Linked DNA regions of Mytilus edulis. The protein of the gene in region 1 interacts with the protein of each later gene in a pairwise test. Links are inferred from orthologs where the notes say so. Each region holds a gene or a part of one and is shown in the gene's direction. Other genes may lie near its edges.

What was found. The genes of interacting proteins can lie anywhere in the genome.
Region 2: the proteins of peroxisomal membrane protein PEX16-like (region 1) and peroxisomal biogenesis factor 3-like interact in binary tests that used the Homo sapiens proteins (3 or more experiments, as listed by UniProt). The link is inferred for Mytilus edulis from reciprocal best matches to the Homo sapiens genes PEX16 and PEX3.

What each region holds. Positions count from the first base shown.
Region 1 is NC_092350.1:35,241,108-35,248,769, forward strand, and holds the start of peroxisomal membrane protein PEX16-like, read left to right. Parts: upstream 1-4,636; 5' UTR 4,637-4,677; coding exon 4,678-4,804; intron 4,805-6,227; coding exon 6,228-6,340; intron 6,341-7,108; coding exon 7,109-7,242; intron 7,243-7,662. UniProt on the Homo sapiens protein: Required for peroxisome membrane biogenesis. May play a role in early stages of peroxisome assembly. Can recruit other peroxisomal proteins, such as PEX3 and PMP34, to de novo peroxisomes derived from the endoplasmic reticulum (ER).
Region 2 is NC_092344.1:15,640,969-15,647,885, reverse strand, and holds the start of peroxisomal biogenesis factor 3-like, read left to right. Parts: upstream 1-3,900; 5' UTR 3,901-4,043; coding exon 4,044-4,122; intron 4,123-6,917. UniProt on the Homo sapiens protein: Involved in peroxisome biosynthesis and integrity. Assembles membrane vesicles before the matrix proteins are translocated. As a docking factor for PEX19, is necessary for the import of peroxisomal membrane proteins in the peroxisomes.

The sequences.
Region 1 (7,662 bases):
TATTCTTGACAAAGAAAGATAACTCCAATTTTCAAAGATTTCATAAAGCATTGGTTTAAGTTGTCATAACTTCATCTTTAACTTACATTTTTAACAGAATAATAGATACAAGTACATTTCCCTGTGTTTTAAAGAATGCAAGAGTAACCCCTGTTTTTAAAGCTGGTGAAAAATTCATGGCAACAAATTATAGACCAATTTCTGTACTTCCAGTTTTATCAAAACTTTTAGAAAAGCATGTTTCAAAACATTTGTTTGACTATCTTAAAAGATTAGATCTTTTACACCCAGCACAGTCTGGGTTTCGACAAGAACACTCTTGCCAAACTGCCCTTATCAATATCATAGATAAATGGATACAGGATATGAATGATGGTAATATCAACTTAGCAGTCCTGTTGGATTTTAAGAAAGCTTTTGATGTAGTAGATCATGATATCCTCTGTAAAAAACTTGAAATTTATGGATTTGATAATACTGCTGTTTCTTTTTTTCAATCGTATTTGAATGAAAGAACTCAACAAGTACAAATTGGTAATGCTCATTCTGAAAAACTTCATATCAAGTATGGTGTTCCCCAAGGCTCCATATTAGGCCCCCTTCTGTTTATATTATACATCAACGACCTTCCTATTTATATGAAAAATTGTTGCACTGATTTATATGCCGATGATTCAACCTTACATCTTTCTGGTAATTGTTATCAAACTCTTCAGTCAAAGGTACAAGAAGATTTACATGGTGTAGAGGCATGGTGCAATGATAACAATATGTTCATCAATAAAAATAAAACAAAATATATGATTATTGGAACGAAGCAAAGAGCAATGCCACATTACAATGAGAGTTGTTTAACTATTAACAATCAAGTGATACAATCTTCCACATGCGAAAGTCTTTTAGGCATTAAAATTGACCCTTCCCTCACATGGACAACCCAAATTGACTTGATCTGCTCAAAAATATCATCTAGACTATATCTACTATTAAAGATTAAAAAATTTCTAAATCTAGACTGCAGAAAATTATTCTATAATGGTTATATCTTGCCACTTATTGATTATTGTTGTATAGTGTGGAGTAGTTGTAGCAGTGAGGGTTTAAAAAGGATATTAAAATTACAAAAGAGGGCTGCTAGATTAATACTAGAAACAGACCCATTCGCTCCTTCTGCACCCTTATTCAAACACTTAAACTGGATGACAGTTGAACAGAGAATAAAATATCATAAGTTAGTGATGACATTTAAGTGTATTAATAATGATGCCCCATCATATCTTACTAACAAGTTTCATTATGTTTCAGACAGAAATCCGTACCCCTTGAGAAATGCTGTTCAAGGAAACCTCATACTCCCTAAACCAAAAACAGAATTATTCAAAAAATCTTTTATGTATTCTGGACCATACTTGTGGAATAATTTGCCAATACAGTTAAGAAATATTACAAATATTAATTCTTTCAAATACAAAATAGCAGATCATTTATTGAAATCAACCTAACTGTATAAATAATATAAAAAACTGATCATGTCATCATGTTTATTTTTTCATCACATTTTATCAAGTTGTATTGAACATTATTATCACACTTGACTTTTTATGCTAATGTATGTATGCAATGTACTAGTATATGTTTGTGTTTTGTTTGATTTTTCATTACGAGGGCCTCAGGGAAGATTAGTTATATAGCTAACTGTGTAACCCTCTTAAAATAAAGTATTGTTGTTGTTGTTGTTGTTGTTGTTGTTGATTCAAATACCATTCTGGCTAAAGAAAGATAACTCCAATTTATTGTCTTGAAACTACAAAAATTATTGTTTTTGGCCCCTTTTTGGCCCTTTATTCCTAGACTGTTTGCCCCATAACCCTTAAAATATATCCCAACCTTCTACTTATGGTATTAAACAATGGTGTACAATTTCCTAAACCTTAGGGAACATAACCCACAAAATCAATCCCAAACTTCCTTTTTAGGTTATAAACATTGTATTAAAATTTTATTAATTTCTATTTCCAAATGTACTTATACTAATGTTATTATCTGGATACAAATATTTATTTTACAAATATTTATTTATTGGCACACACTCAATTACAATAATTGGCAACGGCCCATACAACTAGTATACTAATAGTAATGATGCAGCAATTAAACAATACTACATAGCATATCATTTTGCACATTTCGAACAATGAAATGTGCAGTTATAAATATCAATATATATAGGTTAATTTGTAAGAATAGACTACTGACATAAGTATATTGTATGTTATACAGTACAATTTTCGCGAAAGCCATCCCAAACTCCATACACCGAGTTTTTTCCTGGTGTGACACCAGGAAACTCCGACATCACTCCCTAAATTCTCGGAGAAATTTGGGAGTATTCCCTCCGACTTCCGCGTAAATCTGTTACCTTTTGTTTATTGTATTAGCGACATCTCTCCCAGTCTGGAGTGACGCGGTGTCACACCAGGTAATTAATTGCCCTAATCCTTCTGATCTATGCCGGCACGCGACAGTCAAGGTATGCCAGATTTCTAATGTAATTAAACAATTGTATTTCCTGTCTATTGATTATCAGTTTATATCTGATTGCTTGAAACAAATGAAAGATTAAAATAAAAATAAAAACGTTGTTAATTCTTTTAATTACTCTGTACATCTAAATCAATTTTTAAAAACAACTATATTTGATTTTGACTTCCATTTTTTATCAGTAAATAACTATTTAATTTACTAAAAGAGATATAATTGTGTAACAATAAATGGAGACTAACGCTGAATAAATTAGGGTAGTTTAAAGAAAAGTGACACGTCTCAAAGTTTTTTATACAAGTAAAAATGAAAATATTATTCACTATCTGTTATGCTAATAAGTAAGCCATTTCCATTTTACAATTACAAAATAAAAGTTTTAAAAAGGAAAAGGTTGTTGTTATTAAATGCTTTCAATTGCATTAAAGTTTTATAAAAAAAAAATCTATACTTGATTATGACCTCGGGTTTTTTTTTATCGGTAATTTATATAACTTACGAAAAGAGACATACTTGCGTGAAAATAAACGGAAATTAACGCTGAAGGTATAAAATGTGAGAAAGAAAGAAAATTACGTGTCTTAAAACTTGTATATGCAAGAAAAAAAGAAAATACTTTTCACCATTCTTTATGCTTAATAAGTCTACAGCATTTTCTCTTCACGATTTGTTAGCTTTACTTTAGGATAAATAATACATTTCGGCTACAACAGGAATACTTCTATAGCTGCATCAACTCGTCGTTGCATAATATTTATTTACGCACAATGAATGTAAACTTTTGTGTTGTATTTAGAACAGTGATCTTTAAATATTTTTAAAGCAATTAATTGCCGTGGGAAGACGATACGCATCTCAGTGATCAACAGTGCGTAGTTGAACTTGAACTTGAACTTATTACAAAGGTAATAAATCTGGCTAATCCGATGATGTTGTCACGCGTCATTAATTTTCAGTACATCCGATGGGCAATAAACCAATAAACAGCCACGCGGTGTTGGGAGAGAATCTTTGGAGGAAATTGGGAGTATAATCCCTGATTCGCCGTGTCACACCGCTACACTCGGAAATCCGTGATTAGAGTTTGCGATTACATACTCTCTGGGCGTACTGTAGCTTTATAAGTACATTTTTCCTTAATTCAAATGATTGATTAATAAAAGATGATATTAATCAAAGTGTTTTTCTACACTTGTTATTAAGTAATAGTTTGATATATTCATCCTCAGTTTTAGATTGTTTGTCATAATTTTTAAATTTGGACAATTTTGATATAAGAACATTTCTTTGTGATTCATATAATCACAGGAGGTTGAAATCCTATCAATGAGGGTCTATAAATATGTCAACTCGACTATCACAGTAGAGCTTCTCTTCGCTTCTCTCTACGAGAGAAGCTCTACTGTGATAGTCGAGTTGACATAATTATAGACCCTCATTGATAGGATTTCAACCTCCTGTGATATAATATTGCACAAAAATTTTGTGCAATGCAAGATAAAATGTTTTTCGTCTTCTATATGTATTGCATATGTAATTTTGTCCCTTAGATTATTACACATAAACAAATGTGAAACTTGTACTGATGCTACAGAAGGGAAATGGTATAGAGAATTAATATTTTAGAACCTAGAAAATGTTTCGCTCGAACTGTCGAATAACAAAATCAAAAATTTCAAATGTGATTCATTTTGCAAAAAAAAACGTATAAAGAAGAACTTTGCAGATACAAATATATTCTACTGTACATAGTGGCTTCAATTTTGTAGGATTAGATTACAGTTTCAATACCTTTATAAAACCTATGTGTTCATTATGAAAAATTATAGATAACTTTTTTTCAATGTATTTTCAACTGGACCTTCTTTCTGAGATTTATGGCAAAGGAGAAGGAAAACAACAAACAGGTAACCAGTAAAAAGAAAATCACCAATCACCAAAAAAAAAGACGAAACGGTTATAGTTTTTTACCGTCTATAAACACAGCTGTCATTCTCTTTTATAGATGCTTTCTATTTTTATAACAATTCGTTTACCTTACAGTTGATGCCAAGACATTGAAAATTTAACATTTTTTTAATAAAAAGATCATACTTTTTGGTATTCAGATTCATTTTGCCAATATTTGTGTTGACCATGGCCTCAGCTGCATCAGATTTTGTGAGAGAAGTATGGGAACGCTATCAGAAGATAGTGAGGGAAAATCCCGAAACTGTCAGTCAACTAGAATCCACATTCAAAGTTGTGTCATATGTTATAGCAGGTAAAATATCTTGTTAATGAAGAATGTTTACAAGAAATCTTAAAAAGGGGTGGATAACTCAGATTTTAATCCTACTTTCAGTTTCATATGATCAACAAAATCCTCTTTGATAGGCAACATCATGCATACATAATTTATTTAATGGTTTATTCTTCTCATATATATCATCTTAAAAATAGGGATGAAACAATACTCTTATTGAATGATTCTGCTTTTTTTTTAAACAAGCCAAAGGTCATGGTTCAGATTTTATCATTGTTACATTTCTTGGTTTCCAACTTTAAAGTCATCTGAAACGAGTGATTTAATCAGATTGGTGAAAATTAATATTTATCCAATTCTTGAACCCATGCATGTATATATCATCAACTTAGTCATGTTAGTCTTCTGTGCTAGTCCAAATAATTATGACGTCTTGAAAGGCTATTATAATTTTTTTCTTTGACGCCTTCCTTCGGCGTCAGAGAAAAAAATTAGAATAGCCTTTCAAGACGTCATAATTATTTGGACTACTTCTGTGCATGATTTTATCATTTATACAAATGACATTATGTATCGTATAATTGTCATTTTTTTTCTCTCTGTTTGTTATGATGTGAAAATATAGCTGCTCATTACTTGTCGTTTTTGAAGCCAAAGTTTACCGATTGTCACCTTATAGTAAACAATCAACAAAGAAGCATGGATAATGGAAACATGTTTAACATGTACAATAAGATAATAGTTTATTTCAGTGACAGATCCATGCGTATTGCCATCACCTGATTTTTATGAGGGGTCACTCTAAGGTCACTTTGCATATGGAAAATAGACCTACAATCATATTTTAACCCCCACAAACAAAAAATATCTTATAAGTCACATTCATCATGTTCGTAGGATGATCCTGGAACCATTGAAACTGTTTTTGAACTAAGATCAATTATTTTACATGCATTAATTGTGAGGGCTTTAAAAAGAAACAGTAGAAAGATAATTTTACCAACATAAAAAATACTGGAACAACAACCACTGGCGGATCTAGAAATTTCATAAGTGGGGGCACACTGACTGCCTAAGAGGGGGCTTGCTATTGTCATGCTTCAGTGATTCACTATATAAGCAACCAATTTTTTTCCAAAAAAGGGGGGAGGGCCCCTCTCTTAATCGGCTGAATTGAAGTGTAAGTTGGTGTGGTCCAAATCTGATAGTTGCTACTGGGCAACCTTTCTTTTTGGGGGACTTTTACATAATAAATGCATGTATGTATGGAATCAGATATGTGTATGTATGAACATTTGATGAATGAAAAGAGACAGACACTTAAAATGCCAAATAGAACAATAAAAAGTCACCTAAATGTGATTAGGTTAAAAATAGTCATTTATGATCTCTTTCATGTCTTTTATACATTTTTAACCAATTAAGTCTTTTTGTCTTTCAGGTAGATTTGAAGATTCCCAGGTTTTGTCAGAGCTTGTCTACTTGGCATCCAATTTACTGATTTTACTAAATGATACCATCTTCAGACAGACAGCCAAAGTTTTAAAAAACATAGTAAGTCTGTCAAATTTATATTCAACATGTACATTTGTATTTATATTAATGTTTAAAGTTGAAGCTAATAGTAATACTGAATTTGAACAAGCAATTAAAATCTGTGATGTCAAAGTAATACATTTTATCTTCAATAACCAATGAAAGTATCACAAACCAGAGCAAAACATGCTGTCCACTCTGGGCTTCCAACTAAACAATTAATCGAATATAATTTTTTATACTGGTATTTATCATTTAGTCAAATTGTAACTAACTACTTCATCAAGATTTTAGAAGTAAGTTGTGGTTGGTCGTCATAGTTGAATACTGAGAAGTAGCGAATAACATCCTAGTCTTATAGGCCAAATAAAAAAAGATGTGGTTTTCTTATTACCCTACCCTCCATATTTTTAAGCTAAAGAAATAGCTTACCCTTAAGTTGTTGTTTTTTTCCATTTTTTTAATACGCACTGTTCAGAATGCCTCTCCTTTAGACTCAATGTAAAAACAAATGGTAAAATAAAAAAAAAAATCCCTACCTACATGACCTATAGCTATCTTCCCTATTTTTATTAAAGATGCAATATGAAACACACATACCATTTTTTTTGGCCAGATTGAGAAAAAAAAATAATTTTGGACAGATATTGGATGTATAAATCTGAGTCAAACAGTGTCATATGTTTACAACTTTCAAGTTTATGCAAAGTAAATGACTGACTTTTGTAAATGCTAAACTATTAAATCAATGTTTTACATGTACAAGTATGCTCTTTCTTATTTCAGTCTGTTCCAGTAGAAAGATGGAAAAGATTTTTAACAGTTTTACAGTATGCAGAAGTTTTTCTAGAGATGGCAGCACAGAGAGCATGGGGAGAAACAGGAAGATGGTTCATTATATTAGTTGTACAGCTCACAAAGTAAACAGGCAATCTCTCTACTCATTTTTCGGCTTTATGTAGATATATATATAGAATGACCAAATTTCCATAGAAAAAAGTAGTATGGCCTGGTATGTTAAAACTTTGATATGAAAAGTGACATAATTGGTATATATTGTAATTGCCCCTTACCATGCAATAATAGTAAACTTATTCAAGCCTTTCAGAATAATATTAATTTTATTGATGTCACTTTGAGCTAGGTAAAGCTCTTGAATATTAATTTGACTACTAGTATTTGACAGTTAGATTTTTTGCATTAAATGTAAAAATTTTAAAGCCCCATTGTTATATTTTACAACAAAATTGAACAATGTTATTAAAATACTGATGTCATTTCCCTATATATTATTTGGAAGATTTAAAAAAACAGTTGATTTTCAGGGCTCACGCTACCAG
Region 2 (6,917 bases), on another chromosome or scaffold:
TCCTTAATAGATATAGGAAGATGTGGTATAAGTGCCAATGAGACAACTCTCCATCCAAGTAACAATTTATAAACCATTATAGGTCAAGGTACGGCCTTCGACATGGAGGCTTGGCTCACACCGAACAGCAAGCTATAAAGGGCCCCCAAAATTACTAATGTAAAACCATTCAAACAGAAAAATCACAGTCTAATCTATATACTAATGTAAAGGAGAAATGACTTCATTCATGATACTTATGTCAGTAAAAGAAACAATTTTTACACACATTGGTTTAAAGGAAAATTATGAAAAGGTCAATGAGATATATCACAACAAATACACACACGTATTATTAGCAGTCAAACAATTGGTCTCAACAAATGATTAGTTGTTATACCGTATACTAAACTCTGTAGTGCTATGATTAGTTTTGAATAAATGATTCATAACTACCAGGAACTTTCTTTCAAAACCGAATTCCAATAAGGGCAAGAAATGCTCCAATGTTTAAAGATAACATGACTAAGCAAGAGCACATTATGCAAATAATGTTTGATTTACTTTCGAGTCATTTGTTTTTATACGACCGCAAATTTTGAAAAAATTTTCGTCGTATATTGCTATCAGCGTCGTCGTCGTCGTCGTCGTCGTCGTCCGGCGTCCGAATACTTTTAGTTTTCGCACTCTAACTTTAGTAAAAGTGAATGGAAATCTATGAAATTTTAACACAAGGTTTATGACCACAAAAGGAAGGTTGGTATTGATTTTGGGAGTTTTGGTCCCAACATTTTAGGAATTAGGGGCCAAAAAGGGCCCAAATAAGCATTTTCTTGGTTTTCGCACTATAACTTTAGTTTAAGTTAATAGAAATCTATGAAATTTTGACACAAGGTTTATGACCACAAAAGAACGGTTGGGATTGATTTTGGGAGTTTTGGTCTCAACAGTTTAGGAATTAGGGGCCAAAAAAGGGCCCAAATAAGCATTATTCTTGGTTTTCGCACAATAACATTAGTTTAAGTAAATAGAAATCAATGAAATTTAAACACAATGTTAATGACTACAAAAGGAAGGTTGGTATTGATTTTGGGAGTTTAGGTCCCAACAGTTTAGGAATTAGGGGCCAAAAAGGGACCCAAATAAGCATTTTTCTTGGTTTTCGCACAATAACGTTAGTATAAGTAAATAGAAATCTATGAAATTTAAACACAAGGTTTATGACCATAAAAGAAAGGTTGGGTTTGATTTTGGGAGTTTTGGTCCCAACATAATAAGGGGCCCAAAGGGTCCAAAATTAAACTTTTGTTTGATTTCATCAAAATTGAATAATTGGGGTTCTATGATATGCTGAATCTAACTGTCATGACTGTGTATGTAGATTCTTAACTTTTGGTCCCGTTTTCAAATTGGTCTACATTAAGGTCCAAAGGGTCCAAAATTAAACTTAGTTTGATTTTGACAAAAAATGAATCAGTTAGGTTCTTTGATATGCTGAATCTAAAAATGTATCTAGATTCTTGATTATTGGCCCAGTTTTCAAGTTGGTCCAAATCGGGGTCCAAAATTAAACTTTGTTTGATTTCATCAAAAATTGAATAAATGCGGTTCTTTGATATACCAAATCTAACTGTGTATGTAGATTCTTCATTTTTGGTCCTGTTTTCAAATTGGTCTACACTAAAGTCCAAAGGGTCCAAAATTAAACTTAGTCTGATTTTAACAAAAATTGAAATCTTGAAGTTCTTTGATATGCTGAATTCAAAAATGTACTTAGATTTTTTATTATGGGCCCAGTTTTCAAGTTGGTCCAAATCAGGATCTAAAATTATTATATTAAGTATTGTGCAATAGCAAGTCTTTTCAATTGCACAGTATTGCGCAATGGCAAGAAATATCTAATTGCACAATATTGTGAAATATCAAAAAAAAAATTAATTAGAGTTATCTTTCTTTGTCCAGAATAGTAAGCAAGAAATATCTAATTGCAAAATATTGTGCAATAGCAAGATTTTTTTTTAATTGGAGTTATCTTTCTTTGTCCAGAATCAACTTAAATCTTTGTTATATACAATATACAATGTATATTCACTTTTTACTACCAACTGATAAATTAAAATAATCTTTACCATTCAGTGATAACAAGCAGTTTTTTTACATCTTAATATTTTATGATGTATTTAAATGAGTAGTTATTGTTGCAAACTCCATTAGAAATTTTAATTGAGATTAGTTTTGGAATAAGGGAAAGGGGGATGTGATTAAAAAAATTGGGTTCAATTTTTCTCATTTGAAATTTCATAAATAAAAAAGAAAATTTCTTCAAACATTTTTTTGAGAGGATTAATATTCAACAGCATAGTGAATTGCTCTAAGAGAAACAAAAATTTTAAGTTCATTAGAACACATTCATTCTGTGTCAGAAACCTATGCTGTGTCAACTATTTAATCACAATCCAAATTTAGAGCTGAATCCAGCTTGAATGTTGTGTCCATACTTGCCCTAACCGTTCAGGGTTCAACCTCTGCGGTCGTATAAAGCTACGCCCTGCGGAGCATCTGGTTGTAAGTTGTAATTTTGTTCTTCTTTAAGTATGATCAAGTTGAAGATAAACTATTTTGGTCCAGAGAATCGTTGTAATGTGCACATGTATCACTGGTTTGACTTCTTTTCCATGATTTCTTTGATTGTTCAGTTTTACAATCTGGCACACCACTTTGGATATCATGGGAACCTTATTTACAGTTTTGAACAAAGACAACCCATGCATAGTTTGCTTCTTTGATCCAACTGTGTCAATAGATTTACATGACATGATTTTTACACAGTTTGTGATGTTAAAAAGACAACTAATGTCAGTTGATGAGCATCTAGTATTTGTTAAAAATCAATACTAGATATAGAGTTATGAATAATTTGCTAGGTTAATCCCTCTGAAAACCTAAATTTTTAAAAGCACCAGTTTATGTTCAGCAAAATAAAATCTTCAATAACATGTCAGAAATTTGTCAATCAAATCTTCTTCAATTAATTTCTCCATAGAGATGACTTTTACACATTTTAAATACCAGTAGTCAAAAAATATGGTGGAAAGAAAGAAACTTTAAAAAACAAGAAATATCAAATATGATCAAAAACAGTTGTCTGAATAATGTACGTGTCAGACTTTTGTAGGTAGATACAAACTATAAACAGCAAATATTATCATCACAACAAGATTTACAAAAAATGTGTCTAAATATGATTTACAAATAACCAACATTATAACTGATCGCAGAATAAAAAGTATAGAATAGATTTTAAAAGGCATATTTTTACCAGTTTAGAGGATTCAGGCTTTGGGACCAACTTCTCAATAAAAGAAATTGACTAGTGTTCATAGAAGAAGTCTAATGGTCTTCACTATAATTTCACAAAATCATAATGACTCAATGTGGGTCTCATTGGGGTCTAAGCGTGACACGGGATTGCTGATTTTTTGTAAGCGTGACACGTGAAAGTCAAATTATTGTGTCGTGAAAACGGGAAATGAGGTCTAGCGGGACCTGGGAAATGACAAAAAAATGAGAATTGCTTACGTACATAGTGTAACAGTAAGCGGGATCCGGGATCCTTGATATAAGATCTATAAAAATGCCACTAGAGATATGATATACAAACAACATTACAGTTCAGTAAAAGTAAAATAAATATCAACATAACTTTTTGTTTCTATTACATATGAAAAGTTGATTTAAATTGATAGTAACATGTGGCTGTTTAGTTATCTTTAATTTGGAAGATTGGTCTGAACTTGTATATCTATACATTTCAAGGGAAACGATAAAACAAATCGGAAACGAAACATTTCCGTACCCGACATTGAAGTATGTACTAATTATTATAAAATAAAATCACTACAGTGCTTTAATCACATGAAACTTCAATATGAAATAAAGTTCGTGCTTTACATCGAAAAGAAAAATTGGATTTTGATCACGAAGCAGAGCACGAAGTCAGAACGAACGAATTTTGAACAAATCTAGTGATAAATCAGTGGCAAGACATTTCTTTAATTAAGAAGATGTTAGGAATCGGTAGTTTGTGGAATTTTATAAAGCGTCATAAACGAAAATTTATATTTGGAGGCATTCTTGCCGGAGGTAAACAATTTTGTTAATTCCATCATAACCCACATGGGTTTCTTACAATGGCCGGGCTTACTATCCATACGAACCCCCAAAAAACTAGGGGTTCGTATGGATAGTAAACCCGGCAATTGTAACAAACCCCTGTCTGCACAAACACATATTTTGATAGTCCGAGATTAGGGAGCTACCATTTAATTTTTATGGGGGGGCTAGGATGAAAAATTTTGTCCTGCATTTTTTTTTAGCTGTAATCTCTGTCCTGCCTTTTTATTTTTCACTCTGTTCGGTCCTGCCTTTTTTTTTTAGTTGATCCTCACTTTTTTTTACCTTAATTGTCGTCCTGACTTTTTTTTTTTGCAAGTGTCTCATCCTGCCTTTTTTTTTACTCTAAACTCCTGTCCTGCCTATTTTTTTCAAATTTCATCCTAGCCCCCCCATAAAAATCAAATGGTAGCTCCCTTACTCTGACCAGTGATATTGTTGTCTTTTTTCAAAACTACCTCTACCGTTTTTTATTGGGAAAAATGCATATTTTTTATTGAAATTGGGAAATTTGTATATTTTATTCTGAACACATCTCCGATTTTTTCCTGACCTTTGCTGTCTTTTTGCACTGTTTTTTTCATGTATGTTTTGGTTGTCAGACATTTTCAACCTGAAAGATACTTTCGGAGAGGGGAAAGAAACAGAAGCAATGATGGTACTTACAATGCATTGAAAACTACATGTGTTACAAACACCATGATGATTCTGATCAGAAAACCGGATCTCAAAAGTGCTTTCTAATATCAAAATGATAACATGAATACGATATTTACAAACATTACTACCAATGCCATCACTGTTTGGGGAAAATGTAAAACTTTTTGGGAGGAATTTTAAGCCATTTTTTTCAGTAATTGGGAATTTTCTCTAGGGGAAAAGGCCGAATTTCGGCTGTTATTTGAGCCAAACAATATCACTGCTGACGTCCAACGGCTGTTTTTCCAGACAAGCTTGGGCCGTGGGACGTCAGAGCTCGTCCCATATCAAAAAGTGGATATTTGCCCACCCAAAATAGATGCGCTGCTTCGTCGCTTCTGGTGCCGACTAACGGCCTTGGAATTATATAAATCGGGCATCAATCCTTTCATTTTTCATTTATCTTTTCATTTATGTAAGTTTCACCTACCTGCCAACTTTTATTTTTCCATATTTTAACAGTTTTCACAGAGATCCATCGATTTCTGCATTTTGACTTTCACTTTCAAATGGACGTCAAGTTACGAGAGAGTTTGTGGCCTCGAGACTCAAATATGCAAATTTTGTAGGAGATCGATGTTTAACATTTAGTAGCCAACCACGATTTTTCACCTCCTTTACAGGAGATCAGTATTAAGCATTTAGTTCTGACCACGTTACAATCGGAAGCTCTCGGACATTTAGATAACTTGCATCGTAAATGAACGAGGTGTTACATTATGGTCATTTGCATAAATCATCACTGTTTTCTCGTGGTCACGTGATAATCTTTGAAAATGAAAGGCAAAATGCAGAAATCGATGGGTCTCTGTGAAAACTGTTAAAATATGGAAAAATAAAGGTTGGCAGGTAGGTGAAACTTACATAAATGAAAAGATAAATGAAAAATGAACAGATTGATGCCCGATTTATATAATTCCAAGGCCGTCAGTCGGCACCAGAAGCGACGAAGCAGCGCATCTATTTTGGGTGGGCAAATATCCACTTTTTGATATGGGACGAGCTCTGACGTCCCACGGCCCCAGCTTGTCTGGCAAAACAGCCGTTGGACGTCAGAGTAATCTCGGACTAATATTTTGATAAAAGCCTCTGATTTTTACTGTGTCATTTTATACTAATATGAGGCAGGCATTACCTGTGAATGGGGACGAAGTCTGTATGAATTATTTTGTTTGTAACTTACATATGTGTTCAAAAAAAGAAACGGAAATACCGTAACGTTTCCGATTTTGGTTCTGTTGTTAGGGATTTTACTTGTGACGTTATTTAAGTTATGATGTCATGTTCAATGTGAACAAAGAAATGCAATGCATCAGGTAACGTTAATTCATATCAAAGACGAAGAATTATTATAAATGAAATATTGGTATTGTGTTCCTTGAGTTCCTATATGTCGTAGATGTAGATGTACTAGACTACTCAAAGTCTCACGACAAAGAGACCGGAAGAAGGAAGTTGATTTCTGCGTTCTGCTGGAATTAAATAAAGCGACAAAAAAAATTTGAACGATTTTGAGTTCATTAGTACAATGAAAATTTCGGGAAATTTTCCCAATTTTTTAATTTTTTTTATTTATTTATTTTTCTACTGTATTAGGCCTAGGGGACTTTCATCCTCATATAATACCATAGTTACTAAGCCTTAGCAATGGTAAATAATGTCATGACATTTCATGTCTTAAAAATTAAAGCTCGTCCTGATTTCTGGGCCCAGAGGAAGAGCAATAGACAACTTGTGTGTTCGTTGCATCCTGTCAAAACCTTTGGTTTTAGTGAACCACATTCATGTGTTTAGGGGCATCATCACTTAGAGTTATTGGTTGAACAAATGATAATACTATATTGAACAAATTATTTTGCATAATGACGATGAGAAAAACGCTTGATGAATTTTAAAACAGTAGGGATACAGGCAAACACCTCTAGGCCAAAAATAAAATATTGTTTGTTTCCCCTCCCCTGACCGACCCGGTAAAATCACTGCGACCCGAAATTTTTTATTGGCCATTCTTTTCCACTACTTTTTTTTTTGCTGGTTATTGGTGATATCTTTCCGATGCTGTAGTC